4 linked regions of the Tamandua tetradactyla genome follow. The protein of the gene in region 2 purifies or fractionates together with the protein of the main gene of each other region. This does not show direct contact. Links are inferred from orthologs where the notes say so. Each region holds a gene or a part of one and is shown on either strand. Other genes may lie near its edges.

Region 1 (7,549 bases), on a different chromosome or scaffold from region 2:
TAGTCTATAGACCAGGGGGTGCGGGGGGTAGACTAGATAAGCTTTGACATATCAGGATCCTGTGAGAGGGGACTCCTAGTATGAGAAGCTAGACAGACCAAGTCTCTATTGCTTATGTCCATAAGTCTAGCTACCCCAGCAAACTCTGTTCTGGAATCTGATGGGGGCTTTCATTGAGTGCAGTGCAACAGGAAAATACAGCACAGCTTAGTGTGTGCCCAGCAGCTGAAAAAGATACATACCACACACACAGACAGCGACCCCAGAAGTACAGCCTGGCTTGATTCAATAAGCTATAATTACCATAATTTGAGGTAGGCACAAACCTTGTGTTGGAGAATGGTGAGAAAGGAGCAGGCTCACATTTGCTTGCCTTTAGGAGGCAGCCACGTCCTCACCACAGAGGGAAATTGGATAAACAAGGCTGAGTGCAGCAGCTCCTTTGTTTCTGCTGATGGGAATTGATACTGACACTTGGAAGCCAAATGGAAGGAAGGGCAGACCGGCTGAGGGCTGCAAAGTCAGAGCAAGGAGGCTAGAAATGGTTTCTGAGGAATGGATGAGAGATGTTCTGTAAAAGCTCTTGTGAGTTAAGTGGTATTTCAAAGGGTGGGGTAAACTGTCAAAGGGGGTATGAGGGCTGAGAATGAAATATTTAAGGGGCAGGGAGGATCTAATGAAGAGCAAGCAAGAAAGGGAGAAAGAGAGCTTCTAAGAACTCAGGGCTCCTGTAGCAAGAAATTCCAAGCAAACAGAATTTCCCAGATTTTGTTACTTAATTCCGTTTCAAAATCTGTCAGCAGCTACAGCTTTTTAATACTATCATTTTATCTTGGCTTCTCTTTGGTAAGATTCCTTAAAGACTGTTTCAATCCTGAGACCATTTAGGATGGACAGAGAATTCACAAATAGGAAAATTCTCTCAAGAATAAGATGCAAGCAAGAAAATACCTGGCTGGATATAACCTCAGGTGTCAAAAGACAGGACACACATGATCAAGAGAAGTGCCAGAAGAGCAACTCTTTGCAGGGTGAGAATGGGACAGGAAGAATGGACACCTACTCTTAAAGAGGAGGTGCCGGGGGAAACGTATTAACTGTGGTCTGCAGCCTTCTGCAGCTAGAACTGAGGAGGGGAAAGTGGGTTTCTTATTATCCATACTCAGGAATCAGTGGCTGGTGACCCTCACAATCTCTACAGGTCTTTAAAGAAAAATGAGAAGTCATGCTCTATTTGCTACTACCTTCTGACAACACAGGAAATAATTGGCAACCCTGTCTCCCTGAAGAAAGTTTTCCAACACAAAGACCCTCATTACCTACAACTCTCAAAACCTAGGCAAGCATGACATTCCTTCGGCACAGCAAGATTTCCAAGGTGGCCGCTTTGACTCTTGGGAAGCGGGAAATCTGTATAACATCTTCCCTTAGAATGGGAGTGGGGGAGTCAACAATGAGAAGGGCAGAGAAACAAAGACAGAACGTCTGAGTCAGGAAGGATAACTATATAAATGGCAGATCAACATTGTCATTGCTAAATTGAGGAAAATGTCAGCCTGAAGAGAGAGCAGGGAAACTAGAGTGGGCAGATCAGAGAGAAAGATAATGTGTTGGGAGGAGGGGTGGCTGAAAGAGGTAGCAGGATAAAGCAGAAAGCAAGTCAAAAAAAAAAAAAAAAAAAAAAAGAACCACAAGAGGAGAAGGCACTTAGCTTAATGGAAGTGGGAAACTCCAGGCAGGGGGGAGAAGAAAAGCTCCAGGCATTGGGGAGAAGCAACATATCCTTTAAAAAGGCTCTTGGGAAATGTGGGGCTTAGCCCATGACAAAGACAGAGAAGCTGTCAGTCCTTTAGAATAGTTCCCAAACCTAAACTTAGAATAGTTCTCAAAATCTAAACGGCTTGCTGGACAGGTGGATGCCTCTCAATTTTCCAACTCCTGCACCAAGCCCAAATTATCCATTAAAAACAGCTTGCCTACCGGCCCACGGGGCATTAAGACATTTCTAACCTCATTCAGAATCCTTTCTTCAGGAAGGAGGTTGGATTAATCAAGCCCCAAAGCATCTTTAACTCACAGGAAGCAACCAACAGGCCATTCTCCATTTCTCTCCCAACCATCAACTTTAATTCTGTTCGAAAACTGACCAGCACAATGGTACAGCATAGGAGAAGACTGGCGACCCAGATGTCCCTTCAGGCTATAAAGTCGTCCTGGACTGCTCCCGTCCAGTTCCCGTTTGTTTGTTTGTTTGTTGATGGCTGGGAATGGCCAGCACAAAGGCCAGCTCCTCTGAAGTTCTTTCATTTCTGCTTTCCAACAAATTCTTCCCACTACCATCTTAAGTCCTGGGTAGCAGACACCCAAGGTACCCCGACGTTATGGGGCTGTTAGAATCAAACAGCCCCACGGCCCTTTTCCCCTTCAGCGGCTCCGGAGCCTGTTGCTCGGGGGCCGGCTGCGGGCAGCGACTGGGAGTCGCGGGGAAGCGGCTCAACTCCAGGGCTCCGGACCGTCGCCTGGGCCGCCCGGGCCTCGGCCCAGCCCCTCCGGACGGAGGCGACCCGGGGAGAGAGCCTCAGCCTGCGGACCTCTCGTAGGCTGCAAGGGCGCCTACGTCAGCCCTGAAGGAGCGCTCAGTCCACACAGCCCCACAGAGACTCCGCCGTAAGGGGCTCCCGTGTGCCCCCCACAGGGCCTCCCAAGTTTCCAAAGAAGCGCAACGTCTTCTCCGGAGTCTTCTGTTGCCCTCCCCCGCCAGGAGTAGCAACATGGCCTTCCCAGGCATATTTCTCTCTCCGCCTCATCCCCTCCCCACACCGCCTCCACTCCCAAGCCCCTTACAAGACCTCCCGATCTAGGGGAGAAAGAAACGACCACTCACAGCTTCACTACATTTTCCACCACAGCCGCCATCTTCCCTGCTCCTCTTCTTCAGGAGGGGAGGCCCGGGAGCCCGCAGCGCGCAGGCGCCGGGCACGCTCGGGGTGGGGGCGAGTTTCTCCGTTCTTTTGCGCAGGCGCTGGCCAGGCGCGCGCGCGCGCCCGAGAACGAGCGAGGGGGAATGAACTTCGCCCAGGCTGGGGAGAAACAGTGTGAGGGAGCCGAAGGGAGCCAACGCGCAGGCGCGACGGGAGACGGGCGCGCGCCCCGCTGCTCCTGCTCCAGCCCAGCCGCGCCTCTTCCATTTAGACCCCTCCCGAGAAAGGGCTGTAGGGAGCACCTACGTCTTTCCCCGAAGCCGACCTTTAACCTCATGTTTAACCCTTTGCCCTAGGTCAGAGCTTGGTGGGCAGCTAACTGAAAATAAGAACATTCACAGTCCGCTCTTGCCCACAAACGTGTGTCCATTTTAGGGAGTTAACATCCAGAGCTGGACATTTGTTTGGCCGGAATATTGGGGTCTGACAAAAGTTACCTCATCTTCCTGCCACCAAACCCTCCCACCGAAAGTCTCTGGTACCCACCTCTTCTCCCCGGTCCTAAGACCAGTCCCTACCTACTCCTCAAAAAACTTTATTCCCTCCAACATAGACTCTGAAGAACTTCCCTCCTGTAATTATCCTTCACTCTTCTGTACCATTCATTTCTGCACTGTGAAACATTCTCCTCCGCGTACAAGCATGGCTCTATGTCCCCTTATTTAAAAAAAAAAAATCAAAAGCTCTTCCTTAAGCCCATGTTTGCTTCCCTTATCACTCCCTTTCTTTTCATCCCTTCAAAGCAAATAATCCCTTATTCCCCCATCTCTGCTGTTTTATTTCCATGGCTCTCTTCTGGCTGGTTTAATGAAAGTTTTGTACCCACCAGGCCCCTGAAACGGCTCTTCACAAAGTCACTGTGACATCCATCGCGACAGATTTGGAGGGCTGTTTCCTGTCCTCATCCACCTAGCAGTCTGGTGTCACCATTGACCATTTCCTCCTTTTTCGAACGCTTCTCCAGTCTGAAACATCACACGCTCACGGCTGTCCGACAGTCCCTTTGGCGTCTTTTGCCAGCTCTGTGGCCCACCTATAACCATCACACTCCCCAGGGCTTGCTCCTTGGTCCCCATTATTTTTCCGATATATCTTATCAATGCCAAGATGCACTTACCACCCCCCACCCCTTTTACTATTTCAGAATCAGGCTGCATTCTGCCATCACTGTGTGTTAAAATGGTACTTGGCCAGATGACAGTGTGAGTTATCATGCTGTTCTCTGCAGCAGCACCAGAATTTGCAGAATGGCTGTCACACCTTGGAAGAAAAACCCCAAGGCAACACCGGTGCACTCTTTTACCTCTGAGATCCAAACGATTGTGGGGACAAGGGGCATCAAAAGTGACTCCAACACAGGAGTCGAAAGTATGCTAGCACTAAAGTTAAACTCACAGCTTCAGCATACCTATGATCCAGCAATTCTATTCCTAGATGTATACACCAAAAGACAAGAATGTTCACAGCAGTAGTCTCCATAATAGCCCCAAACTGGAAACAACCCAAATATCCACCAACAGTAGTAGAATGGATTAAACATCAATGGAAAAGACAAGCTGCTGCTATACAACGTGAGGGAATAGTAAAAACTTAATGTTGAACAAAAGAAGCCAGATTCCAAGAAGACAAACTATATGATTTCATTCACATAGTTACACAAGAAATCAGATAAACTGACTGTGGGGCCAGAAGTCAGAAGAGTGGTTATCTTTGGACAGATGATAACTGGGAAGCGGGTACGAGGTGGCTGTGAGAGGCTGCTAATGTCCTTTTTCTTTACATGGGTTTGTTGACTTTGTAAAAAATCATTGATCTGCACAAGATTTGTGCACTCCTCTCTATGCATATTTCAATTAAAAGTTTAAATTACAAATATGAGTAATAATTAGTAGGCTAGTTCTACATCATGGGAAAGCCGGTTTCTGAGCCCAGCATCAATGACTTTCAGTACTTTTAGGATCCTTTTAAGAAATGTCATATCTCTGAACACAGAATATAGTGCTTCTCCTACAGGCAGAATATGTGGGTATGGGAACCAAAGAGCAGAAGTGGGACTCATCCCCTTGCAGTCTCAACTAATGATCCTTTTGCACAATGTCTGTTTCCTGTTCCTCCAACTTTGGGCTCTGGCTGATTTAGAGTCAGATTTTGACCCAAGGGAGAAATGCTTCCACCAGAGGGTGCAATAACGATTCCACTAACCTAGAAGCTGAGACTGCCGATGGGTCATTCTCAGTGCCACCAGGCAAGAAAGTAAAGAGGGTCCCCACTGATGGCCAGAGTGTTAAAATAGTCGTAGCAAAATGGCAATAACTGGCCAATCTAGATAAAGGTATAGGAATGTTCGTGAATCTATTTTCAATGTTTCAAAACTAAATGTTCTGGGGAAAAGTCAACTCTCTACAGGGAAATCCACCAAGAGCTCAGATTACTTCAAAATGAAGTTCGGAGACACATCGCTGGTAAAGGACCCTGACGGCCAAGATGCTGATGGAGGATAAAGAGTTCGTGGACTGGGTGGCTACAGCTTTGTGGTAGAAAAAGTCCATAACTTGTACATGTATTTCTTCTCTTGATGCAACAAGTATTTTATTTAAACATATTCTAATTCCAGATTTTTTCTCCCTTTCCCCCACTTTGTCTTGGTATTAATTCATCTTACAATGTAGTTTCATAATTTGCAAGATATTGAGATGGGCTGATAAGGGACGAGTGAAGGAAGAAGGCATATTGCCTAGAAATCCTGGACTTGGAAGGGGCTGTGATAATTGACCAGACTTTGAGTTTCTCCCTTTGGAAAAAGAACGAATGTATTTTAAAAACGAATTTTATTTACACACATTCCATATCCAACAAACAAACGAGTGACAGTGTTTTTACGGAGATAGGGATAACTGCATTATATTAGGTAGGCTAGATATGTTATTTCTCTTTTTGAAGGGTAACTCGAATAAGGACATGTTGAACATTCAGAACAGTGGATTGTAGGGACATTTCTCTTTTTTTGGCTTTCCAACGACATCTTCTCTTCTTAGTTCTGAAATCCGTTTTTGTGTGTATTTGTGGAACATGGTACCTGAACCCTATGAGATATGCTGAAGAGGGAAGGCTGTTTTTCCTCCCTCTCCCTGGCTCCCTTGATATAAGCAAACATCCTTTCAGTGCATCAGCTGCTGCAGGTCCCTTACCTTTCTCCACCCTGATAGGGCAGCCCCAAGGGGTTCCCCAGGGTTGCTGCTGCCTGATGCAGGGTGGGTGGGGAGAGGTCCCAGGGAATCCAGGGCAAGCATGCCCCTTGCTTCCACGACTACTCTGGCTCAGGTCCAGGGTAAGGTGCTGCCATCCAGCTGGGTGAAGACCTTAGGACAATGTCCTTTTTTCTTGTCTTCCTCTCCCAAGACAGAAGAGGACACATTGAATTGTGTCTCCCAAAAAGTTATGTTGAGGTCCTATCCCCTCAGTACCTGTGAATGTGACCTTATTTGGAAATAAGGTCCACACAGCTTTTTCTGGAGGCCAGAAAGGCTGGGGTGGGTGGGTGGGGGACTGGGATTTGCAGGGTCACAGGATGGAGAGAACGGCCTGAGAATAGAAAGGGTCCAGTGGAGACCTGCCCTGGCCTCCGAACACCAAGCCGCGCCTTAGCACCCCTCCCTTCCCCACGGCCCAGCCCAGCCGGCTTGCAACGATTTCCTCCTCTCTCATCTTTGGGCCTGTGTGGGTCTGATCGTGTGTCTTTCTTGCTTAAAGTCCTTCTGCAGTTCCCCAGTACCTCAGCTTTAGCCTTACAAGCTGTACTCCTATAAGTTGATGCAAACCTGTTTCTCCAGCTTCAAAGTCCTGCCTTTCCACCCCCAAACCATTTTTGAAGACCTTTCATGTGGCAATTAATAGACATCATTTGTACTCTTCCCACCAACCCTGTGAAGTGGATATCATGGACTCCATTTTACAGATGGGGAAACTGAGACTCACAGCCTGGGCCAGATTCCAGGTGACATCCAGAGGCCCAGGCATGCTCTTTTCACCCCATGACAGCTCTTCTGCCCTTCATCCCGGTGCCTTTGTCTATCCTGGAGCCTAAGCCAACCAGTCACCCTCGGGGCTCACCCCAAATCACCTCCCATCCTTAATGTGCCAGCACCATCTTCAGCCTTTCTGATCACAGGGCTTCCTCCATGGTGGTCCCTCTTGTTGAAAATCACCTCTCTTGTTGACAAAGTTATTCTCCTTCTGCCCCACTCGAGTGTGAGCCTCGAGTGGACTGGGTCTGTCTTGAGTCCCCAGCACCTGGAGCCACACCAAGGATGCTGTGGCCACTCACTAGGCAGCTGCTGATGAGCTGGCACCTCCGATCAGCCATCAGACCCGCAGCCCTGCAGCCCCTCCTGCACTACCCAGGTCCTTTGAGCTGGAGAAGCCCTTAAACCCCTGCACAAAGCCTGGGGCATACTTTTGTTACCCTTGGGTCTCCCCCAATCGATCCCCACCACCTGCCTGGCATGGGGATGGACCAGGTGTCTTCCAGAGCCTGCCCACCTTATCCCCAAGGCTCACCTGCTAATTGG
Region 2 (6,845 bases):
AAACTGGCCAGGCACTGCTGGATGCTAGCTTCCCTTTCTGTAAAAGGAAGGAGGTGGCCTCAGTGATCTGTTCCTGGTGCACTTCATGTAGGGATTTGAGGGTTCCCATCCAAGTTTCCCCCCTTTGCTAGGCCTTGCTAACGACCTGCTCCCCAAACACCAGGGCGCCTCTGTTTATAAGACGATGAGCTGCTTCTGTTACAAGTTGCTAGGTGAGGACCAGCGCTGCAGAGAAATGCCAAAGCTGGGACTGCATTTTCCTCACAATTACGCATCTCTGTTCCCGAGATGGAAACCTCCTCCTCCCCGCAGCCACCGACAAGCCTCCATGCGGGAGGAACGGTTACCAGCGGGAGCAGAGTTGAATTTAACAAGCTAAGCAAAAGGAGTAGTTTGATTTCAGGCTCTAGCATGTGTCATGACCATGCCAGAGATCATCAGGTCCTCTATTTGATAAATCTCTTCCAGTACATAGCGCTTCTTATGTGCCCAGCGTGGTTCCAAGGGCTTGACAAAAACTAACGTGTTTAGTCCTTGTAAGTGTCATCATCCCCATGAGAAAGAGGAGGCATAGAGAGGAGACGTTTGGCACAAGAACTAAATAACTCAGCTTCTGTAACCCCAGGACCACTTCTTTAACATGTCTACAATAATGGCTAATATTCCTAGAGAGCTGGACTTCCAGTTTCTGGTAATGGGCTATTCAGATTAACTCTCTAGCTGAAAGCAACTGAAAATGCTAGAAGACGGTACTTTTAAAAACATCTTCAAATCCACAAGGTGATGACAAGACAATAAAACTGAAGGTCAAAAGAACCATAAAAGATAATCCTGTGAGGAAGCCTTTTTACCTAGCATGCTTAAACTTGAATGTGAAAGGTCTCATGGGGCAAGGGGGGCCAGAAATCAAAGTCCAAGGCCCACACTATGTGGGAGACCCTACCCACAATAACTTGGGACCCCACTGGGCTCTATCAGTAGAATGCTGGTACAGGTTTAATAACCAGCTCTGGATGGGGGAGGGGAAGGAGGGCCTGCTTTTGGTGTTTGCCAATTTTCCTGGTGTAAATCCCACTATCTTGGCTGATTTCAAGCCATCAGCATGAGGTCACTGAACAGAGAATTGGGAAGCAAGGCCTGCAAGCCAGCCACAGCGCATCATGTACTCTGCCCTCAGGGTACGGTAGGCAAACCTGTCTTACACAATCATGCAACTCGTATGTGCATCACCTGGGTGGTCCAGGGAACCACAAGTCCTGCACTTGGATTAAGGTGCTCCTAAACCAGCAGTGCCCTCCGGAGCCTGGCAGAAGCAAATGTAAATCAGCTCTGGAGGACGATACCTTCGTCCCAGGCCTCAAATTATCCCTATAAACAATTTTTTTAAACGACACTATCCAGCAGTCAGAGAGAAACAAGCAGACCACAGGAAATAGGATACCATGGGCAAGATCCAGCAGAAACAGAACCACCAATACTACAAGTATTAGAATTTTCAGACTTTGAAATAGTCTGTGAAACAGCTGTACTTTTGCTGAAAGAAACACAAGTTTTAAAATATCTGCACGGGACAGGAAATTATAAAAAGTCACATACTAGATTTGTAAAAGAATATCTGTGGAAAGCTTTACGGCTTGATGGGGAATCAAAAACGCAAATACCTTCACGGGCCAGGAAGGTAACACAAAGGAGCAAAAGCTGGTGAGTTGGAGAGTTTTTGTCTGAAAGACACCAGGGCTCCTCAACCGACTGTTGCCCATGTGATAATGGGGTCCCAGTGTTGCCAGATGTGCTATTTCTAGAGAAGCTGGATATTGGGATATATTTCTTTGTTGTTTGTTTTTGCACGGGCAGGCACCAGGAATTGAACCCAGGTCTCCGGCATGGCAGGCGAGAACTCTGCCTGCTGAGCCAACGTGGCTTGCCCTGTTTGTTTTTAATGTGATAAAATACCGAACATAAAATGGACCACTGTAACCTTTTAAAGTATACAATCCAGTGGCATTAAGTACCTTTACAATGTTATACAGCCATCACCACCATCTCTCATTCCAGAATTTTATCATCACCCCAAAAGGAAACCCTATACCCATTAAGCAGTTGTTCCTCTATCCAGCCCCCACAACCACGAATCTGCTTTAGGTCTCTATGGGTTTGCCAATGCTAGATATTATTTCACATAAATGGAATCATATGATATTTGTGACCTTCTTAGCTTAATGTTTTCAAGGTTCATCATGTTGTAACATGCATCAGAATTTCATTCCTTTTTCTGGCTGAGTAACATGCTATTGTGTAAATTTACAACATTTCATTTATCCATTCATCGATTACTTGTGTTTTTGACATATCTTCCTATTTTGTAATTCAGATATATATTTTTCAAGTTCTTTGTGGTCCAAGGTGCACATTTGCTAGCCAGATCCAGAGGGCCGGCAGGCTTATATGACCTGCTGTTACACATTTTCCCACTTAAGTCTCGGAATGATTCTCTCAGGTACATGCTCTTATCTTCAGTTTTTGCACACTAGGAACTTGAGTTTCAGAAAGATAACATGGAATGCTTGGGACACAGCCCGGCAGCCTCCCACTGCAAACTTCAAGGGAATAGTGCCTGATACTCAAGACGAGCAGACCCGAGATGTAGATTATGGCTGTGACCTTGGATTTAACCTCTCTGGGACTCAGTTTCCCCACCTGTCAAATGACTCACATTGGGCTAGTTTCTAAGGTACTTGGGTTGCTGACAGCCTAGTGCTCACCTTTCCAGGCCTACCTCAGGCCTGACTTAGAGGTGGTCAAGTCTAACCAAACAGTTGCAGCTAAACACAAAGTCATGGCACACAGATTCCTCCACTGAGCTCAGTCCTGGGGCCCACTTAGGAGGAAACAACCCCGGAGAGTCTCAGCATAGATGGGACCAGTCTATTTTACCTGCCAGAGCATCTATACTAGGACCAGCACCTGGTCTGAGCCCTGTACTTAAATCAGGGGGGGCAATTAGTGGCTTCCATTTAAATTACGTTTCGCCGACAGAAACCCCAGTAAGGGAATCCCTCATGTTACTTAGGGCTAGGGCAATACTGTTCTCCAGGTGGAAAGGAAGGAAAGGACCCTATTAAAATGCTGATAACAAGTGAGATTTTCCTGCGCAGAAACGTATCTAATAAGGTCGAATGTTCCCCGTGGCCCGCATCGACGACCCTGGTTTTCCAAAAGAGCGAAGCGTGGAGGAGCCAAGGGTTTTTAGCCCGTGAATTTAAACCGGGAAGAGGGCCAGCAGCGATCCAGAGTCCTCAACTCTCCGAGAGCAACTCGCTTCCCGAATCGCCGCCTTCAACTCTGAGAAGTCCAGAGCCCCACAGGAAACTTGCATTATTGCAACCGCTGCAGCAGACCCGGGGCAGGGGAAAGGCCGCCGAGCTGGCTCCTAAGGAACGCGCGCCCTCCGCGCCCGGCGGCCCCGCCAGCCTGCCCTCCCGGGGGGACCCCACGGCCCCCGAGGCCTCCGAGTGAGTGCCCGCCCGCCTCCTCCCTGCACGTGCCCTGCGGGAGCCGGGGGCCGCCCCTCGCAGCCTCCCGGTGTGGGCGTGGAGGAGTGTGGGGTGTGTGTATGTGTGTGTGTGTGTGTGCGCGCGCGCGTGTTGGTTGGGGTCGGGGTCCCGGGCGCCTTCTTGGGCTGGGGGCAGAGCTTCCAGGGCGCGAGGCCGGAGGCTGGGGGCTGCTGCCCGGCGGCGGGCGCCCGGAGGCCGCACTGCTGGCGGCCACGGCGGCGGCGGCGCTGCTCCCCCTGCTCGGTGCAGCTGCCGCCCGGCGCTTGCGCACTGGGCCCCGGGCGCGCGGCGGCACCAGGCTTTGTGTGTGTGTGTGTGTATGTGTGCGTGAGGGTGTGTGTGTGTATATGTGTGTGTGTGTATGTGTGTGAGTGTCTGTGTGAGTGAGCGAGCGAGAGTGTGGCCGCCGCGGAGCGCGAGCAGGACCGGCGGGCGCGCTCCCCTAGCCTCTCTCTCCCCGCCAGCACCATGTCGGGCAGGTCGGTTCGAGCCGAGACCAGGAGCCGGGCCAAAGATGATATCAAGAGGGTCATGGCGGCTATCGAGAAAGTGCGCAAATGGTAAGCTGAGGCGCCTCTGCGCCCGGGCGCCGCGGCGGCGAGCAACCCCGAGCCCGGCTCCCGCGAGCCCCGGCGGGGCGACGGCGCCGCTCCCGGCCCGCGCCCCCCGCCCCCGGCCTCCCACCCGGCCGCGGCGCCCGGAGTTGGAGAGGGCGGGCGGGCGGCGCGCGAGCCGGGTCACCTGCGCCCGGCGGGGGCCGCGGCCACTGCCCAGGTGCGCTCGCGCCGGGCGCCCACCTGGCGCGACGGCATCAGCCTGGAGGCGGCGGGGCGCTCCGGGCCGGGCGGCGGGGACCCGCGGGCACAGCCCCCCGCCGCGGCGCTCGGCTCCCGGGAGCGGGGGAAACGCGAGGCCGGCCCCAGAAGCCATTTCGTTTTGTGCAAGTCACATGAAAGCGGCTTCCCGCGCGCCGGGGCTGAGATGCCGCCGGGCGAGGGGCGCGAGCTCCATTGTGCCGGCACTGAGCGGGCCCGGGGCCGCCGCCGTCTCCTCCCCGCGCGCCCCGGGCGGCGCCGCGCCGGGTCCCCGCGCGCCCTCGGCCCCGCCGGGCCTCGCCGCCGCGCTCCGACCTGCCGGCCTCCCGCCCCGGCGCGCTGGCTCCCCCGCTCCCCGCCTCCCAGGCCCCGGCGCCCTCGAGTCTGCGGAGTTTGCAGAGCGCGAGCCGTTTAAATTTAGCGCTTTGGGCTGCCTGGTGAGAGGGCTCCGGGCGAAGGAGGGAAGCCGGGGGCGAGCGCCGGGAGCGAGAGCTGCCCGCCGGGCCCCAGGGCGCAGGGGCCCCCGCCTCCCACCCTGCCCTGCCCGGCGCGCACGGGGACTCGGGCTCGGGCGCGGCCCGGGGCGGGCCGAGGGAAGATTTTGGGTCAAAAACCGGTCCTGGGCCGCGTCTGCTTTTCTAAAAACAGAAGCTCATGTTTGTTTTGCGGAGAGAGCCGTTGTTTTTGTTCTCAGCTCTCCGCGCGGGGGGCCGGGGATGTTTGGTGTTGGGCGGACGTGGTTTTCGGGCTCAAATTAGATCCAGCCTGGCGTGGCCTCTTAATTAACAGGATTTGAACGTTTCCACGGCCTGGTGGGGATGTGACTCCGAAACGGCCGGAGGGCCAGGCCCGAGGCCCCGGAAAGATCACCGCCTGGGTCAGACTTGTCCGAAAACTCCCGGCTCCCTGATTTCAACTTTTTTTTTTTTCTTTTTTTCCCACGGCTTCTCCAGGGTCCGGGAGGGAGAGGAACAGCTGCGACGCGGTCCCTGAGTGTCACTGCCCGCGGGCTTCTCCTGACCCTCTATTTAAAACCTTGAAACTGGGCAGGCCCCCGTGGCAGGCTATGTTTATGTTTGGGGGTGTAACTTCTTGGTAAGCCTCAGCCTCTGAAAACCACTGGGGGCGAGTCTCCCGGTCCGGCGGTGTCACAAGTTAGCTGTCCGTTCTGAGTCAAACCCAACAAAAAGAGGCAAGAGGGAAATCAATAAAGCCCACGTGCTCCGGGGCCTCCTATGAAAGGGCTGTCTGCGGATGGCCGGATGCCCGGCAGTGGGCTGGGTTTGGCTCCAGTGGGACAAAGCATTTTCAGAACCGTGAGAAGGGGAGGCTTTGCAAAGTTCAGATCCAAGTCCGGAGCTCCCCTGCCGTGCAGGGCGCCCCATGCCCCAGTGGAGCCATTTAAAAATGGCAGAAACAACTGCAGGCCAAGATACACATATGTAGGTGGGGAAAACCCAGCTACCCCCTCAACCGTGGGTCCCAGTGGGGAAGGCTAGAGTTGGCCCCTTGCAGAGACAGAACTGGTATCCGGCCCTGTGTCCCTTCTGTCACCTTCCTGAGTGTTAGGAAGGAGCCTGGGGCAAGCTGGCCCTCTCTAATCACAGAGGCCTGGTGGGGGCTCCCTACCCCAGGTTGGTGCATGGCTGGGGGCCCTGCACCCTGCCGGCTGTTCTGCAGAGAGGGCAGATGGAGAGGTGAGGGGGGGGGTCTAATGGGTGGGGGGACAGAGCCTTTGATCCTCGTGGGCCCAGGGACTGGCCAGGCCTGTGACTAGAGGGGCTGCTGGACATCTGTCCCTCCCCTTCCCTCCCTGTGTCCTAGGAAGTCTCATGCGTTGAGATCTGACCGTTGAGCTCCCATTCTACTTCCTTGCTTTGACCTTGGACAAATCCTGCATCTTCTCTAAACCATTGCAGAAAGAGGGTCCCCGGGCTGCCTGGCTTTCGCTTAGGGTTGTTGAGGACCAAATAAAGCCACGTCTCCAAAAGCCCCATTCTGCCTAGGACACGAGATGTTATGATGAGGCGGGTTCCGTAGGTCCTGGCCTTGCTGACTGGGTTGTGTGTTGGCCCCCTCCTGAGCATAAAAGGCTCTCCCTGAGAAGCTGCATCGCCCCTTCTCTGTGCCTTTAGAATGGGTCTCCACTTTGCGGTGGAAGCTTTGGGGTGTTTATTTATTAACTGCATGGCTGTCAGCCGTGCATTTCACTGCTGGCTGGGCCTTAGGTTTGCCAGTCAGCAAAAAAAAAGCGTAGGATGTCCAGTGAAATTTGAATTTCAGATCAACAATGATTTAAAAAAATTTTTTTTTAGAATAAGTATGTCCCTTGCAATTTTGGGGTCATACTTACACTAAGTTATTTCTTGTTTACCTGTAACTCTGTTGGGTGTCTCCTGCCCTTTCTGAGGGAGAATCCCTGTATCTGGCATAGCATTTGGCCTGTAAGTGTGGGGTGGGGTTTCTCCTCAGCCCA
Region 3 (7,245 bases), on a different chromosome or scaffold from region 2:
CTGGGGACAGGGCCATAGGGGGGTCAAGTGGAGAAGTCAACCCTGGAGGACTCACATTGCACATGGCAGCAGGGAGCATGCTCTTTGTGGGAGGGAGGGAAGAGGCTTTCCCACACTCAACCAGCAACAGAAGCAGGGATTCAGCCACTCATCCTGGGAATGATGCCCAGACCCTGGGGAAGAGACAACCAACCAGACCTTCACACACACTCAAACACCCATGAGGAAATACACTCAAACTGGATACAGGGGAACATTCACAGGGGAGATACAGATCATCTGAGGTGGTTGGACTCACAAAGAGAGAGGTCTATACCTGAACCCTCAGATCCACCCAGATGCTTGGGAAAGATAGACCCAGACCCTTGGATATACCTGTCCACACATGGGAGACACATTCAGACCCTTGGAGACACTCTGAGACACCCAGAGATACTGTCCAACCCTCAGCTACACCCAGACCCATAGAGGGACACAACCAGTCCCTAGCATACACCTGGACAAGGGAAGAGAAATAGCCAGCACTCTGATATCCCTGGACACATTCAAGAAATGATAAGGCCAAATGCTCTGACAGACAAGACACACAGGCAGAAATACACCTTGTACTCCAGATACTAATGGGAAGAGATTCTCCCAGACACCCCAATATACCTAGACACACTCAGGAAGAGAAATGGATATGGATATTCTGATAGCCCAGACTCACACAAGGAGAAATAAAGCTTCTACTACACCTGAAAAGAGACGCCAACACTGATGGACTCTGCTACAAATGGAGAGTTACAACCGGCATTCTGACACACTCCAATATATCCAAGAGGTAATACAGACACCCCACCACATCAGGACACACCCAGGGAGATGGATAGTCCATCACACATAGGTACCTACCAGAAGAGATAGGGCCAGGCATCGGATACATCCCGGCTCACAAGGGAAGGGAGACAGGTCAGAAACTTAATAGACCTAGACACAGCGTAATAGAGACCACTGTGCCCTTAAATACACCAAGGCCCACTTAGGAGGAGATACAAGCAGAAGCTCAGACACTCAGGGAAAACTGTAGAATCTCTGGAATATGCCCAGACACACTTGGACAAAACACACAGCCCACCAGTCACTAGAAGGGACACAAAGCCAGAGGATCAGACACACACTGAGATCAACACACACTTAGCCTACACTAGGGGCCCCAGCAGGCACAAGGCACTGCTCCACCCACCAATTTTGTACTCGCAGGGCCGGAGTCTGGGGTCCTCAAGGATATTGAGTCTCCGTTTCTTCCTCCAGCAGCGGGCAGGGTACGTGTAGATCTGTCCCGGGGCCAGACCTGGAGTGAGGAGGGAGGTAAGAATGCGGCCAAGAAGCTGCGGCCCCGCCCCACCCCTGCCCACCCGGCGGGTACCAGGCCCGCGGTGGGTTTTCTCCATCCAGATGTAGCAGTTGTTCTGGGCCACGCCGGTCTGCGAATCAAGGAAGGGCAGGCGCAGGCTGCGCTCAGCGCACAGGCGGGCGTTGTAGCTGCGGCAGTGCTCGATGGCCTCTCGGTAAAAGTCCTCGCCTAGGCTGCGGGGCGGGTGAGCGGGCGGGCAGCTGTCAGCAAGGGTAGGTGCGCTTGGTCACGCAGCACCCCTCCTCCAGCCCGGCCTTCCCAGAGTCAGGGATGGGTGGACCCATCCCTCCTATTTCACCTCTTCCCTCTTTGCCAGTCCTGGACCCTCAGTGGAGGGAGCAGACAGAACCAAGGGGTCAAGGGTTCCCCAATATGGGACTCAAGAAGGCCTCCAACTAAGAAGTAGATGCACACAATACAGAAACATACAAAAACACACCAGGACCCATCCAAAGATAACACAGATAAATCACACATAGACACACAGGATTCACACACAAAGACACATCCCAAGACTCACAAAGGAGAAACAGACAAATCTCACACATATACTGAAAAACACAAATATCCCGTCAAATACTGTTGAAAGAGATAGATCACACATATATCCATGCACAAACACACATCACATATCCAAAGATGCACAATACAAACAAATCACCCATTCAGAAATCACATAAGAACACACAACATGGAAACACCCATCACAACACACACACACACATGCACTCCAGAACACACACAGATACACAAATGTCAAAAAGACAACAGTAGAAAGAAACCAACCACATATGCACTTACACATATATCCAAAGACATAGCACAAACAAATCACACGGAATCATATACAGACATATAATACAAAGAAATCACACAGATTCACACAGGGTACACACACACACATTCAAAAAGACACACAACATAGAAACCAACATCTCAAATACCACATATCCAAACACACAAAGATACATACATATATATTAACACAGAAACAAACTACCCATCTTCACACAAAACTCTACAACACAAATACACATATGCCTACTTATCCAAAAACAGAGAACAGAGACAAATCCTGCATAGTTCCTAAGAACATGTGTACATGCTCAAAGACCCAAATATCAAAAGATAGTGCAAAATAAAATAAATCACACACATATTAAACACACACACGCAAATAAGTCACACACACTGCATTCCAAGACAAAGGTAGTGTGGACTTCAGTCGAGTTTACTAAGGCCCCCACCCCCCGGGCCATTTCACCTTCTCCCGGACCCCTGCTGGGTAGGGATGATGAACCCCTTCCCCAACGAAGACCCCGAGGATCCCCAACCCTCCACCCCGCCAGGAGCGGCGCCTAGGACACCTTCTTGCCGGAGGCATACAGTCACACACGCACCCCCGCGCAGCCCCGCACCCAGTGACAGCCCCCTAGACACCACAGCGGCCCCACCCCCGGCCGCCACACATACACACCCGCCCGCGCAGACCCGCCCGCGCGCCCTCCCCCCTCCCCCGGCCCGCACCACCTCAGGGGGCCGGGGATGACTGTGGCCATCTTGCTCCCCGGGTCCTGCCCCCAGCAGGTCCCCGCCGGGTCGGTCCTCCCAGCGCTCGGGCGGGCGCCGAGGCAGCCCATCCATTCATTCCCGGGGGCGGGAGGACGGGGGCCCCAACCAATCACCGCGGCGGGGCGGGCCGGCCCGGGCCATGCTGGGAGTGGTAGTCCCGGGCCTGGGGGCCCCGCGGACCCGGCGGCCTCAAGGGAGGGGGCGAAGCGCAGGGGGCCCGCGAGGCGGGGCCCGAGGGAGCGCCCACCGTCCCTCACACACGCTCACTCGCCCCACATCCTAGACGTACATGCACACACTCACACAAGCACACCTGGACTCACCCACGCCCACACCCCGCAGTTTTCACATTCATACACTCACAGGTGCCCACCCAGACATAAACACACTCACACACCCGCCCACACCGCTTCACACAGACCCCTTCATAGAGACTCACAGCTGCACTCACATTTACACTCACGCACACACTTCAATGCCAAGAGACTTAGAGACACCTTACAGGTTCCCACACAGACTTCCCACCAACGTGTGCACACACGCGGCTCGGCGACCTCCACGCCCCAGTGCCTACTCCCCTCGGGACTGACTCTGCCCCAGCCACTCTCCCAGCCGCCCCACCCTCCTCAACCCTGACACTGGTCAGGTGCTGTGGCCACCTCTGGGTTCTGCCACTTGCTTACCACTTGGCCATCAGCAAGTAACTTCATCTTTTGGGGCCTCAGTTTCCTCCTGTGTAAAATGGGGATGATGCCTCATAGAATTGTTGTGAGAATGAAGTAAGTAAATATGGGTAAAGTGTTTTAAAAGGGGCCCGACACATAGTAAGGGCACAATAAATTCATCCATTCCACAGAGGATCTGATATGCACTGAGGGAAAATGGCTAATGGTTATTAGAATGGATTCTGCCTGGCACACAGGCGATGCTCAACATCCATTTGCTGAGCGACTACATTTACTGAGCACTATGTGCCAGACACTGTGCCCTATACACATGGCATTTAATCCCCAGAGCAGCCTTCTAGGGAAATAACATTCTTATCCCCATTTTCCAGGCAAGGAACCTGAAGCACAGGGAGGTGAGGTACGTGCCCGAGATAACACAACCTTCGGCCCCTGGCTCACCCAGGTGCCATCCCCAAGTAGTTTATCCCCATCTTTCTCCCACTGTCACCCACATTGACACCACCCTAAGGGAATCCCCAGAGAATGAGCTGGCCCACCAAGTCACGCACACTCATCCAGTCTCTACACACACACACACACACACACACACACACACACACACACATACCACCTGAGCCTCCCTGTCCAGAGTTTGCATCCAGGATTCAGAGGCTACATGGATGGACAGTTTCATTCACGCCCACAATGCCCTCCTCGGCCAGGGAGCCCTACTGCAAATGGGGAGAGGGGGGCACGCTAGTCTTCATCAATTTTGTCACTCAGTGACTCACACACATACACACACACACGCCCTTAAAGAACCCCTCAGGTTCTCCATACACAGCTCACTCCTCTACCCTGAGACCCCCCCTCATCCTCCTAACTCCGGGGAGAGGGAGTCTCTGCTTCTATCTGGCCAAGAGTAGGTGGCAAGGTGGGTGAGAAGAGTGAGTGAGGGACACTGGCATGCCATCCCTAAGGTCAGGGCTTCCTGGCCCCTGTGGTGGCCATGCCATAACTCACCCCTGCCGACCCACTGGCTCACACTCAGAGGGAGCCTTTGCCACCTTCTCTCACCTGCTTCACCCTACAGATCCCTAGCACACCCTCTTGCACTTGCTTTCTACACTAGGAGCCACACACACCCCAACTCACCCCTTCCCCACTCCACAACCCTCACATCAATTTGAGCAAGCGAAGCCTGAGTGTAGACACCCCATCCCCTCCTTAGAGGCCCAGGTCCACCCACAGATCCAGGCTGACACTGGGAGAGGGTCTCCCTCCCCTTCCTCACCTCTAGTCGCTTCTGCAATCCCCTCCCCCCCACACTCTCCTACACACAGGAACCCCCAGCCCCACCCCCAGTGCCCACAGTACAAAGCAATATTGATAAAGCATGATACTACCACCTACCACCGTTATCTACCTTTAGTCAGGGCCAGACTCAACTCAGTGCTTTATAAATGTCACCTATGTAAGCCTCATAACAGCCCCATGAAGTAAAAAGAACTAGTATTGCACCCAATTGTCAGATGATAAAACTGAGGCTCTGAGGGAATAGAAAATTAGTGGCTCAAACTGGGGTTTGAGTGTAAACAGTCAGAACTGCTGAGAGCTGCATTCCCCAGCCTCCTGCTTGAGAGGGATCTGACTCCCACATTCCTCAGGAACATGTGGGCCCCTACCATGGCCTCTGCAGATCCCTGGTAAGGCCAGAGCAAAATGGGCGCTAACACTGCCAACCCCCTGGTCTCCAGACCCTGCAGTGAGCTGCCCTTGGGTGAGGGGCATCCCAATACCTGTGTATCTACCAACCCTCATAAGAACCCCCTTTCCCAGCCAGTTTGAGGGTCTCCCTCTTAGGAAAAGCATGTGTGTGTGTGTGTGTGTGTGTGTGTGTGTGTGTGTGTATGTGGTGTGTGCCACTGAGGGTAAGAGGGAAGCAGATGGGTGTCACAATCACACTCCCCTTCAGGATGACTTGAACCTCATACACCCCCTCCAAAACCACCGCAAAGCCACCGGTGTTGGCGCGTGCTGTAAGTCCCCGCCTCCCCCCCCATCACCACCACACACACACCCTTCTCTCCCAACACCTCCCCCCTCCCGCCCTCAGAAGCCAGCAAAGACTGGGGGGCCTCTGGTACAGCCATCAGGCGCGACCCTTCGCGGGGTTGCCCCCACTCCCCTCCTTCCCTCAGCACTCGATGCTCAAGGTCAAGGCTGCGAATGCACGGAGTAGAGGGAAGGGTGGGGGAGGTCGCCCTGGCCCCTTTGTGCGGCGGCGCCGCTACTCGCCCTCCGCCTCCTCCCCCAGGCCAGGGAGGGGAGGGGGGAGGGGAGCGCCGCGCTCGCCAGCCGGGTAGAGAGAGCGGGAGCGGCCGCGCGCCTGTCACTCGGAGCCCGCTGTCAAGGCCTGGGGCAAGGGGGTGGTGGAGAGCTGGGACCCGTAGTCCAGGATCTCAACGAGCGAGCGAGAGATGGAGAGAGGGAAGGAGAGAGAAGGATAGAGCCGGGGATGGCAAGGAGGGGGAAGGGGACCGGGTAGCTACGCTCAAACCCAGGCGTCCTGGCTCCCGACCACTGGGCCCAGGTAGAAGCTAACGCTCGGACCGGGAGAAAGGGAGGGAATCCTCGGAGGATGGGGTTCCAGAGCCATCGGTCCCCAGAAGGATGGGAGATGCTCTTGTTAGAGGTATATGGTCGGGGATTGCGGGGTGGGGGGTGGGGGGATCCTACGGTCTGAGACGACCGTGGTGTCTTGGACCAAAGCTGGAGATCCGAAGAGGAAAGAGTGGAGACAGCAGGAATATAACCCGGACACCCGACATCTCAGCTCCCACCCTAAAGACGCTCGGGCCCGGGTCCCCAGAGAAAGAGGGGAGAAAGAGAGAAAGGTGCCTGACTGAGGGAAAGAAGGATGGTGGGGATCCCGAGATCGAGGTAGGTCCTCCCAACTCTATACGGAGGCAGGCCCAGCGCCGTCAGTGAGATAGAGGAGAGGACGCTCCAAACCCCCTGGGTGGGGAAACTCGGCCTCGGCCGCCCCCCAGCTGGTGCCACATTCCTTCACAGACAGCGACAAAGAAGAGGCACCCCTGCGGCCCTGGAGGGTTTCCCTCCCCCAACCCTAGGAGGTGATACGGGGTGGAGGACCCCCAGGGGCGAGAGGGTGTGCTGGGCATCCCCATTCAACTACCAGCTGCGCGCTGCTTCCCCTCCCCAACGAGGGCGGGGGAGGGGCTCCTGGGTGTGTTCGGGGTCGGGGGGCCCGCGGAGACACTCACGACTTGAGCGGGTTCTGAATGGCGGTGGCCATGGCCCGCTCAGCGGGGCCGCCTCCGGCCCGGGGCGCCGCTGCCGCCGCGCGCGGGCCCAGCCCGGCCTGCGCCGCCCGCTCTGCCGCCCAGCGCGCTACGATTTCATTCATTCTTGGGGCTGCAGCGCGAGCGGAGCGGGGCGGGACGGGGGCGGGGCTCGGCCAATCCCCGCGCCTTCCGGCGCACGACGGGTCGTGGAGTCTAGGGGCGCGCAGCGGGGCCCGGGGGCGCCCCTGCAGGGACTACACGTCCCAGGGGGCGCCGGGAAGACCGCACGTCCATTGGCTGC
Region 4 (7,111 bases), on a different chromosome or scaffold from region 2:
GTTCCAAGAAATAATCATGATGATGAATATGCAACTATGTGATGATATTGTGAATTACTGATTATATATGTAGAACCGAATGATCAAAAATTAAAATTAAAAAAAAAGAAAGACAAGACCTAAATAAAAAAATAATAAAGACTCCGAAATGTACTTAATGCAGACCTTTGTGTTTCAGAGTCACAGGTGGTTCCCTCCTCCAGAGTGAAGGCTTCTGTGTGCCCACCTGGGGACATGCCTCCAGGAGGCACACTGTACACCCCAGGTGCTGGGAGCAGCCCCCACACCCAACAGGCTGAGAAAGGCATGTGGTCCAGTTACTTGCCCCGGTGGGACACGCAGGCCTACCTGCCCTGCAAACCAGGCTCCCACAGCTCTGCTTCCTGGGGGAAAGAGAGGCGCTTAGGCTTTGTTTCTCTTTCAGCATCTTCTAATTCCAACTCTTAAATTCTGAATTAAATTTTGAGATTTTTAAAAATCATTCCTCCCTTGTAACACTGTCACAATCGACTATACAAACTCTAGAAACACAAGTGTTCAAATTAATGACACTGTAATAAATTAAAAAAACAAAATGAAAAAACTCATGACATCGTACAGTTCATCCAAATTTTTCTCCACTCATCTTTTACTTCAAAATTCTAAGTCCTTTTAACTGTAATGAAAACAATACAAACTACAAAAGTGAAAACATTTCACTAGAAATATTAGAATGGCTATTATTACTAATTTAGTTCTACTAAGTTTACTAACTGAACTGTCTGGCTTTTTTATAGTTGTTTACAATCATTTTTTAATAAAAGCTCAAGTATTTTGGAATATTTGTCAAATGAATTCTTTCCAAATATACCTATACTATCCTAAGCTAATATGGAAAAACTCTCCCCATTTACGAGGAAAGTTTTATTTCTACACAAAAGTAGAATTTTCCTTCCATTAGTCTGGGAAGCGGCTCAGTCTCCTCACACACAAACCCCTTCTCCTTCCTCCTGGCTTTCCTCCGGCTTCCCGCGGGGAAGGTCACCAAGGGTCAGGCCGAGCCCACCCCGCGGGGGAGTCACGAGGCTAGGCCGAGCCCACCAAGCGGGGAAGGTCACCAAGGGTCAGGCCGAGCCCACCGCCGCGAAAGTCTCTTCGTCTTTACCGGGTCGAGGTCACGCGGCCTTCCGGCCCGGAGCCGCGACACAAGCCGGGAAAGTACCCCCAAATGAGTGGACGGGGACCCCGCCCGAGCCTGGGGCGGAGGCGGGACTTGTATTCAGAGCTGCCGGCGACGCACTTCCTCCTGCTTCTCCGAGGCGGGAAGGGGCTCGGGACCTCAAACCCTCGGGGGCCGCTCCGTGGACTCCCCGCCTCTGAAGGGCACCGGCCCTGAGCCCCCCCCCCCCCCCGGCTCCCCGAGGACCCGCTTACTCTGAGGCCCCGGCTCCCTAAGAATCGCCTACTCTGAGGCCCCGGCTCCCCGAGGACCCTGGCCCTGAGACCCCTCAGTTCCCTGAGGACCCTCTTACTCTGAGGCCCCGGCTCTCCGAGAACCCCAGCTCTGAGGCCCCAAGGCTCTCTGAGGACCCCCGGCTCTGAGGACCCCAGCCCTGAGATCCCTGACAACAACCCCCAAATCCCTGGGCCCCCGGTTCTGACACCTCCTGACTCTCTGAGACCCCGGCCGCCAGGACGCGCACGGCCAGACCGCCGTTGGGACCGGCCCTGGGGCCCCCCTCCCCGTCCGACCTTCGCGGGCCCCGCCACTCCTCACCTTCGGGGACGGCGCTCCGGGGATGGCCGCGTCGCCGTCGCCCAGCCGCGGGGAGAGCACCGTCCCGGGGACCGCCGCCGCCGCCGCCGCCATCAGCCCGAGCCCCAGCCCCCCGCGCCGCCGCCGCCGCCGCCGCCGCCTAGTCCTGGCCGCGGCCGCCGCCGCCGCGCGGAGAGGCCGCCGCGGCGTCCGCTCCCCGGGCCCCGCCCCCTCCGCCCGCCCGCCGCCGCCTCCCGGAGGCCGGCCTCTGCCGCCGCCCCGGGCCGCCCCGCCGCCGCGCGCCCCGCGGCTCGGCGCGGCCACCGACACGGCCATGGTCGCCGCCAGCGCTGCGGCCGCCGCGGCCGCCGCGGCCGGCGCGGAGGAGCGGAGGGCAGCGCAGAGGCGCGGCGCGGCGCCGGAGCGGAATGGAGAGCGCGCAGCTCGGCCCCCTCCTCACGTCAGCCCTCTCCTCCCACCGCTCCTCTCCGCGCCCGCAGCCCGCGCCGCGCCCCGCCCCCGCCCCCGCCCCGCTCGCTCGCCTGGCTCCCACCTCTCCGCGCCGCCCACTCCGCGGGGTCTCCTCCGCCTCCAGCAGACCCCGGCTACCGATCGACCCCCCGGCCTCCTACAGACTCCTAGCTCCCCAAAGACCCCGGGCCTCCCAAAGACCCCCCCGGCCTCCCAAAGACCCCCTCGGTCTCCAGCAGAGCGCCGACCTCCAAAAGACCCTCCGGCTTCCCAAAGACCTCCCGGCCTGCCAAAGACGCCCGCCCCCGGCCCCAAAAGACCCCAGGTTTCCGGCAGAATCCCGGCCTCGCGGAGACCCCTCGGTCGGCCCCGAACCCCTCCCCGTGTCCTCGCCGCTGCACTCACCGCCTCCCGCGCCCCAGGCAGCCTCCCGCCCCCGGGGCCTTCTGCGCTCACGCTCGGGGGTTCTGGCGCCTGCCCCTTCTGGAGCGCCCCCGAGTCTGGGCTCTGCCGCCCCCCACGCGCTTTTCCAGGCGTGCGCCGGGTTCCGCCGCGGCGCGGGAATGGCCCTCGCCCGGGTCTTCGGCCCTGCCTTTGTTCTCCACTCGCGTCCTCATCGCCGCCAAGCTCCACGTGCACGTCGGACCACAGAATCACATCCCACTGAATGTGTGCTTTCCGATTCAGTCTTTACCTTCCTTTCATCAAAAAGTCTTTCCACATGGAACCCAAGGCAAGTCAAAAACCGTAAAATGTCAAAGTAGCTGAAATTCCACTGCTTGCACATGCTTTTGTGTGTTCACAGATGTGGTGTGCACCGCCGCCGCGGCCGTGTTAGCGAACGCGGGAGGAGGGCCCGGAGCTGCCAGGAGAACGCCCGCGGGGTCCGGGGACCCGGAGCTGAGGGGAGGAAGCCGCACAGGGCCAGTGGACCCGTAGCTGCCGGGAAAACGCCCACGGGGTCCGGGGATCGGGAGTTGCAGTGGAACGCCGCACCCGGCCCTGGGACACAGCTGCGGGGAGAACTCCTTACAGGGTCCTGTCACCACGTTGTGCTCCAGGAGCCTCGATCCATGCTGGCCTTCACGTTGGCGCTGCCTCCTGCTTGGGACCGGGCATTTAGGCCAAATTTGCTGATTTGTAAAATAGGGGCAATACAATCGGGTTTGTGAAGTGCACAGAGGAAGCGCCAAGAAAATGGCAGCTGTTGTATTTGAATTTAGTGTTAATCCAACTTCTCAGGGTTCACTAGGTCGCTTCTTTTATATGTTATACTATACAATAAAAAAGTTAATATTCAGTTATTTAGTTGTACTCTTCTTCCTTGGCTAGTCTATCTCTAGATGAAATGCAAATTTAAAACATCTCATTCCAAGTCAGCAGATAGTGATCTGGCCTTCGGTGTTCAAGGTAGACAGGGTTAAGAAGGCACCGTATGGTGACAGGCCCTGACCATGTGCTGCCTCAACACTAAAAGAATATGAGGCAATTGTTGTTAAAGGCCACTCAGGTGGGAGAAAATTTAATTGCAATTAGAAGAATTAAGATTTAAAAGTCAAGATAGAATTTTTAAAGTATCAAGAAATAGGTAAGACTTCAACTCAATAGTAATATGTTCAGTTGGAAGTGAAAATGAGGGTTCTAAACCCAGAAAAAGTTGAGAGATCAGCAAATATGAGGCATACTCAAGGTACCATCAGTTATTCTAGTTTGGCTAGAGAATAGAGTAAATGAAGGAGGGTTCTAGGAATTTGAGATGAAATATACAAAGAGGCATTACGATGTAATGGAGAAAATAAGCAATTTAGAGTTAAGACTGGTTTAAATCCCGGCTATTTGTTGTGTGATCATAGGTAAATTACCTAATGCCTCTGACCCGCCATTTCCTCATTTTTCAGATAAGAATAATAACACCCATTCAGTTATTCCACAAATATTTTATGGCACACTATGAACTGGGTTGGGTGATGGGATGTAAGGAAACAATTATTCATTAATACATCAAATACTTCCTTATTGTTCACTAAGTTAGGCCCTGAGTTATACACTGACAATACAGTGGTGAAGAAGAAAAACAGCCATAAAACTCCAGAAGACCACATAGAGAGAATATGTAAATTGAGGTTTGAAGAAGATCCAAGCCAAAGGAGGCCAGAGATCCTTGTGGAAGTTAAATAGAGAAGGAGGAGGAAGAAAACAGAGTGTGGGGTCTTGGAAGCAAAGAAGATAAATACTTCAGAAAGTGGAGCTGGTCAGCTATGTGTATCATCTGAGAAGTTGAATAAGATGAGGACAGAGAAATGTCCAGTGATTTGATCAACTTGAGGTCATTAGCAATCTTGACATGAGTTGTTTGAGTAGCGAGGTGGTGACAGAAGCTGGGCTGAAATCGACTGGAGAATGAATGGGAGGCTAGAAATTGGAGCCAGAATACAGGTAATTCTTCTGTAAAGTTTTATTGTCAAGAGCCATAGAGAAAGGGTTAGCTGGAGAGGTGTTGTTTTTTGTGTTTTTTAAGATGGGAGAAAATTCATAGCTGACAAGAATGACTCAACATAAAGGGGAAAGTCTTGGTGCAAGAGAGAAGAGATAGTTTACAGAAGGCAACTCTTGAGAAGGCAAGAAGGAATAGGATCATCCAGAACACAAGTGCTGGGACAAGCCTTTGATAGGAGAAGCACTAGTCATCCATTCTGTTACTGGAAGGAAGACAGAGAATGTTGCTGCAGATGCAAGTAGGTTCATAGGGTGGTGGAACCTCTGATAGCTTCCCTTATCTTAATGAGCTGAGGCTTCAACTGAAAGTGAGTAGTGGAGAGGCATATAGGAGATTTGAGGAGAGAGATCATGCAAAAGAGTGTCTCAGAGAGTGGGAAAGCAAATTTTCTAGGATGCCAGGCAGTGTGGCTTGACCCTTTGATGTTTGTGGTCATGGGATTTAAAGTGAAATCCCTCAGCCTGGTTGAGATATTCTCAGCCAACTTTAGCTGCTTGGATGTAGGCTTGGAAAAAGATAAAATGGCATATATCTAGGAATAGATTTCCCTTATTGAGGAAGGACAAAAGAATTTGGAGTGTGTGTATAAGGAAGTGATTATAAATATGGGCCATGGAATCTAAGCTGAAAAAGGACAAACAAACAAAAAGGATATTAAACAGTGAAATAGGCCAATGAATTGGGCATGTCAATGAGAATGAAGGTGGTGAGCTGGAAGGACAAGAGATAATTGTGTGACAATAACATACTTAAAATTAAGATTGTAGAGGTCATATTAATATCAGTGATAAAAACGTCTAGCATGTAAACCAAGAAATAGATGACCAAAGGGGAGTGAAGAAAAAGGTCACTGAAGGTGAGTCGGTCAAGGAATCGAAGCTAGGAAATCCTAGCTTTGCATGCTAGTCCAGGACTATAAAAATGGCCATGTAAATTGATACAGTGCCAAGAGAATATTGATCATCGAGGAAAATTGTTCTGTGGCCTTAAAAATTTACTGTCAAAACCTTAAAAATGCTCTGCTGATTATAAAGGTATAGGGAATGAAAAAATAAACTAATATTTAGTATACTGCAATCTGAAATATTAGAAACAGAATTGTTTTATTTCTTTATTTAAAAAACTGATCAAGAGTAGTTCAAACTGTGCTTGCCTTCTTCTCAATCTGTAACTTATGATATGATGAGTATCTTTTCTATGCCTTGACAAACTATCATACTCCTTTCTAAATTTGGATAAGCTTCCAACGTTTTATCCTTTGCATTCTCAGTGTCATGAAATATCTCGAAGGGTTCTTTGATGTGAAGTTTTCTTTTCTTTTTTTCTTTCTTTCTTTCTTTTCTTTTTTTAACCAGCAGCACTTCCTCTGAGACAACCACCTGCTTTAAATAATCTGTGGAATCTGGGGAGACATATCCAGCAACATCCTTATCCACATAGCAGCTTTACCAGAGGGCTTAAAATTAAACAATTCATCTCAACTTCTGATACAATGAAATCAGTCTTTATTGGCAGTAAAAGAAATTCAGTCTCTTTGCAATTACCATTTTCTTCCAATGTTTCAACTAAATTCAACACTTTGGCCTGAATGCTAGCCAAACTGATTGGGGGTTTTTGTTGTTTTTATTACATTCTTCAATCCACAGTAGAAGAAATGCTCCATTTTTAATAATAAATGGCTTTCTTTTCCTAGAGAAATTTAAACCAGAAGTTGTTGAAGCAGCTTATCTTATTTTATATTTATAGATTTGTAGGACTTTTTCTGTATTATTCCTATAATAATTTCATGCAGGCCTAGGTCTTGTCCTGTCTTAGCTTTGCTTCAGTCATTTTCAACTCTCTTAATAACATAAAATTTCAAAGTTTTTCAAGGTCAAAAGAGTTGCCTACCTGCCTTCTGGTTTTAAGGCATGAGGAACTACAGCGTTCACTCGGGAAGGCTGCATTGGGACCCTTCATAACAATCAGGTTGTTGCTAAGGAAAGAAACTCAGAATACAAGAGAGGCTGGGCATCTAGAGGAGTTTGCTGAACCACATAAAGAAGGTTCCATAAGCCACCATAAAAAGCTCAGAGAAGGGCAGGCCACGGTAGCTCAGCAGGCAAGAACGCTTGCCTGCCATGCCAGAGGACCCGGGCTTAGAGAAGCAGAGTCTGATCACAGGGTGTTTGGATTTGTGATAGTGGCTGAAGAAAACATTTATGTGGCATTTGCTATTATTGATCGTCATGGTTCTTAGAGGACAGCAGAAAATCAGTTCTGAAGTTATGGACCAGAATATTTAGTTTGACAGTAAGGTGTCTTCAGGGTGTATGCACCCCTTTTATATAGGCTGATAGTGAGGTGGAGCAGGGAAAGGGTTCTAGGACAGCAGGTACAGCCATAATAGCCTTTGTAGGGGAAGGAAA

What was found.
Region 1: the proteins of BCL7A (region 2) and DPF2 purify together in Homo sapiens (affinity purification with mass spectrometry; 3 studies listed by BioGRID and IntAct, counting the BioPlex papers as one, with this or other methods). This does not show direct contact. The link is inferred for Tamandua tetradactyla from reciprocal best matches to the Homo sapiens genes BCL7A and DPF2.
Region 3: the proteins of BCL7A (region 2) and DPF1 purify together in Homo sapiens (affinity purification with mass spectrometry; 3 studies listed by BioGRID and IntAct, counting the BioPlex papers as one, with this or other methods). This does not show direct contact. The link is inferred for Tamandua tetradactyla from reciprocal best matches to the Homo sapiens genes BCL7A and DPF1.
Region 4: the proteins of BCL7A (region 2) and PHF10 purify together in Homo sapiens (affinity purification with mass spectrometry; 3 studies listed by BioGRID and IntAct, counting the BioPlex papers as one, with this or other methods). This does not show direct contact. The link is inferred for Tamandua tetradactyla from reciprocal best matches to the Homo sapiens genes BCL7A and PHF10.

Annotation. Positions count from the first base shown.
Region 1 is NC_135335.1:9,220,134-9,227,682, forward strand, and holds the start of DPF2 (zinc finger protein ubi-d4), read right to left. Parts: upstream 3,011-7,549; 5' UTR 2,917-3,010; coding exon 2,885-2,916; intron 1-2,884. UniProt on the Homo sapiens protein: Plays an active role in transcriptional regulation by binding modified histones H3 and H4. Is a negative regulator of myeloid differentiation of hematopoietic progenitor cells. Might also have a role in the development and maturation of lymphoid cells.
Region 2 is NC_135331.1:9,905,299-9,912,143, reverse strand, and holds the start of BCL7A (B-cell CLL/lymphoma 7 protein family member A), read left to right. Parts: upstream 1-3,835; 5' UTR 3,836-4,022; coding exon 4,023-4,114; intron 4,115-6,845.
Region 3 is NC_135342.1:25,754,751-25,761,995, reverse strand, and holds the start of DPF1 (zinc finger protein neuro-d4), read right to left. Parts: upstream 3,019-7,245; 5' UTR 2,956-3,018; coding exon 2,927-2,955; intron 1,570-2,926; coding exon 1,226-1,569; intron 1-1,225. UniProt on the Homo sapiens protein: May have an important role in developing neurons by participating in regulation of cell survival, possibly as a neurospecific transcription factor. Belongs to the neuron-specific chromatin remodeling complex (nBAF complex).
Region 4 is NC_135337.1:73,934,992-73,942,102, forward strand, and holds the start of PHF10 (PHD finger protein 10), read right to left. Parts: upstream 3,009-7,111; 5' UTR 2,994-3,008; coding exon 2,901-2,993; intron 1,860-2,900; exon of another isoform or gene 1,850-1,859; coding exon of another isoform or gene 1,757-1,849; intron 1-1,756. UniProt on the Homo sapiens protein: Involved in transcription activity regulation by chromatin remodeling. Belongs to the neural progenitors-specific chromatin remodeling complex (npBAF complex) and is required for the proliferation of neural progenitors.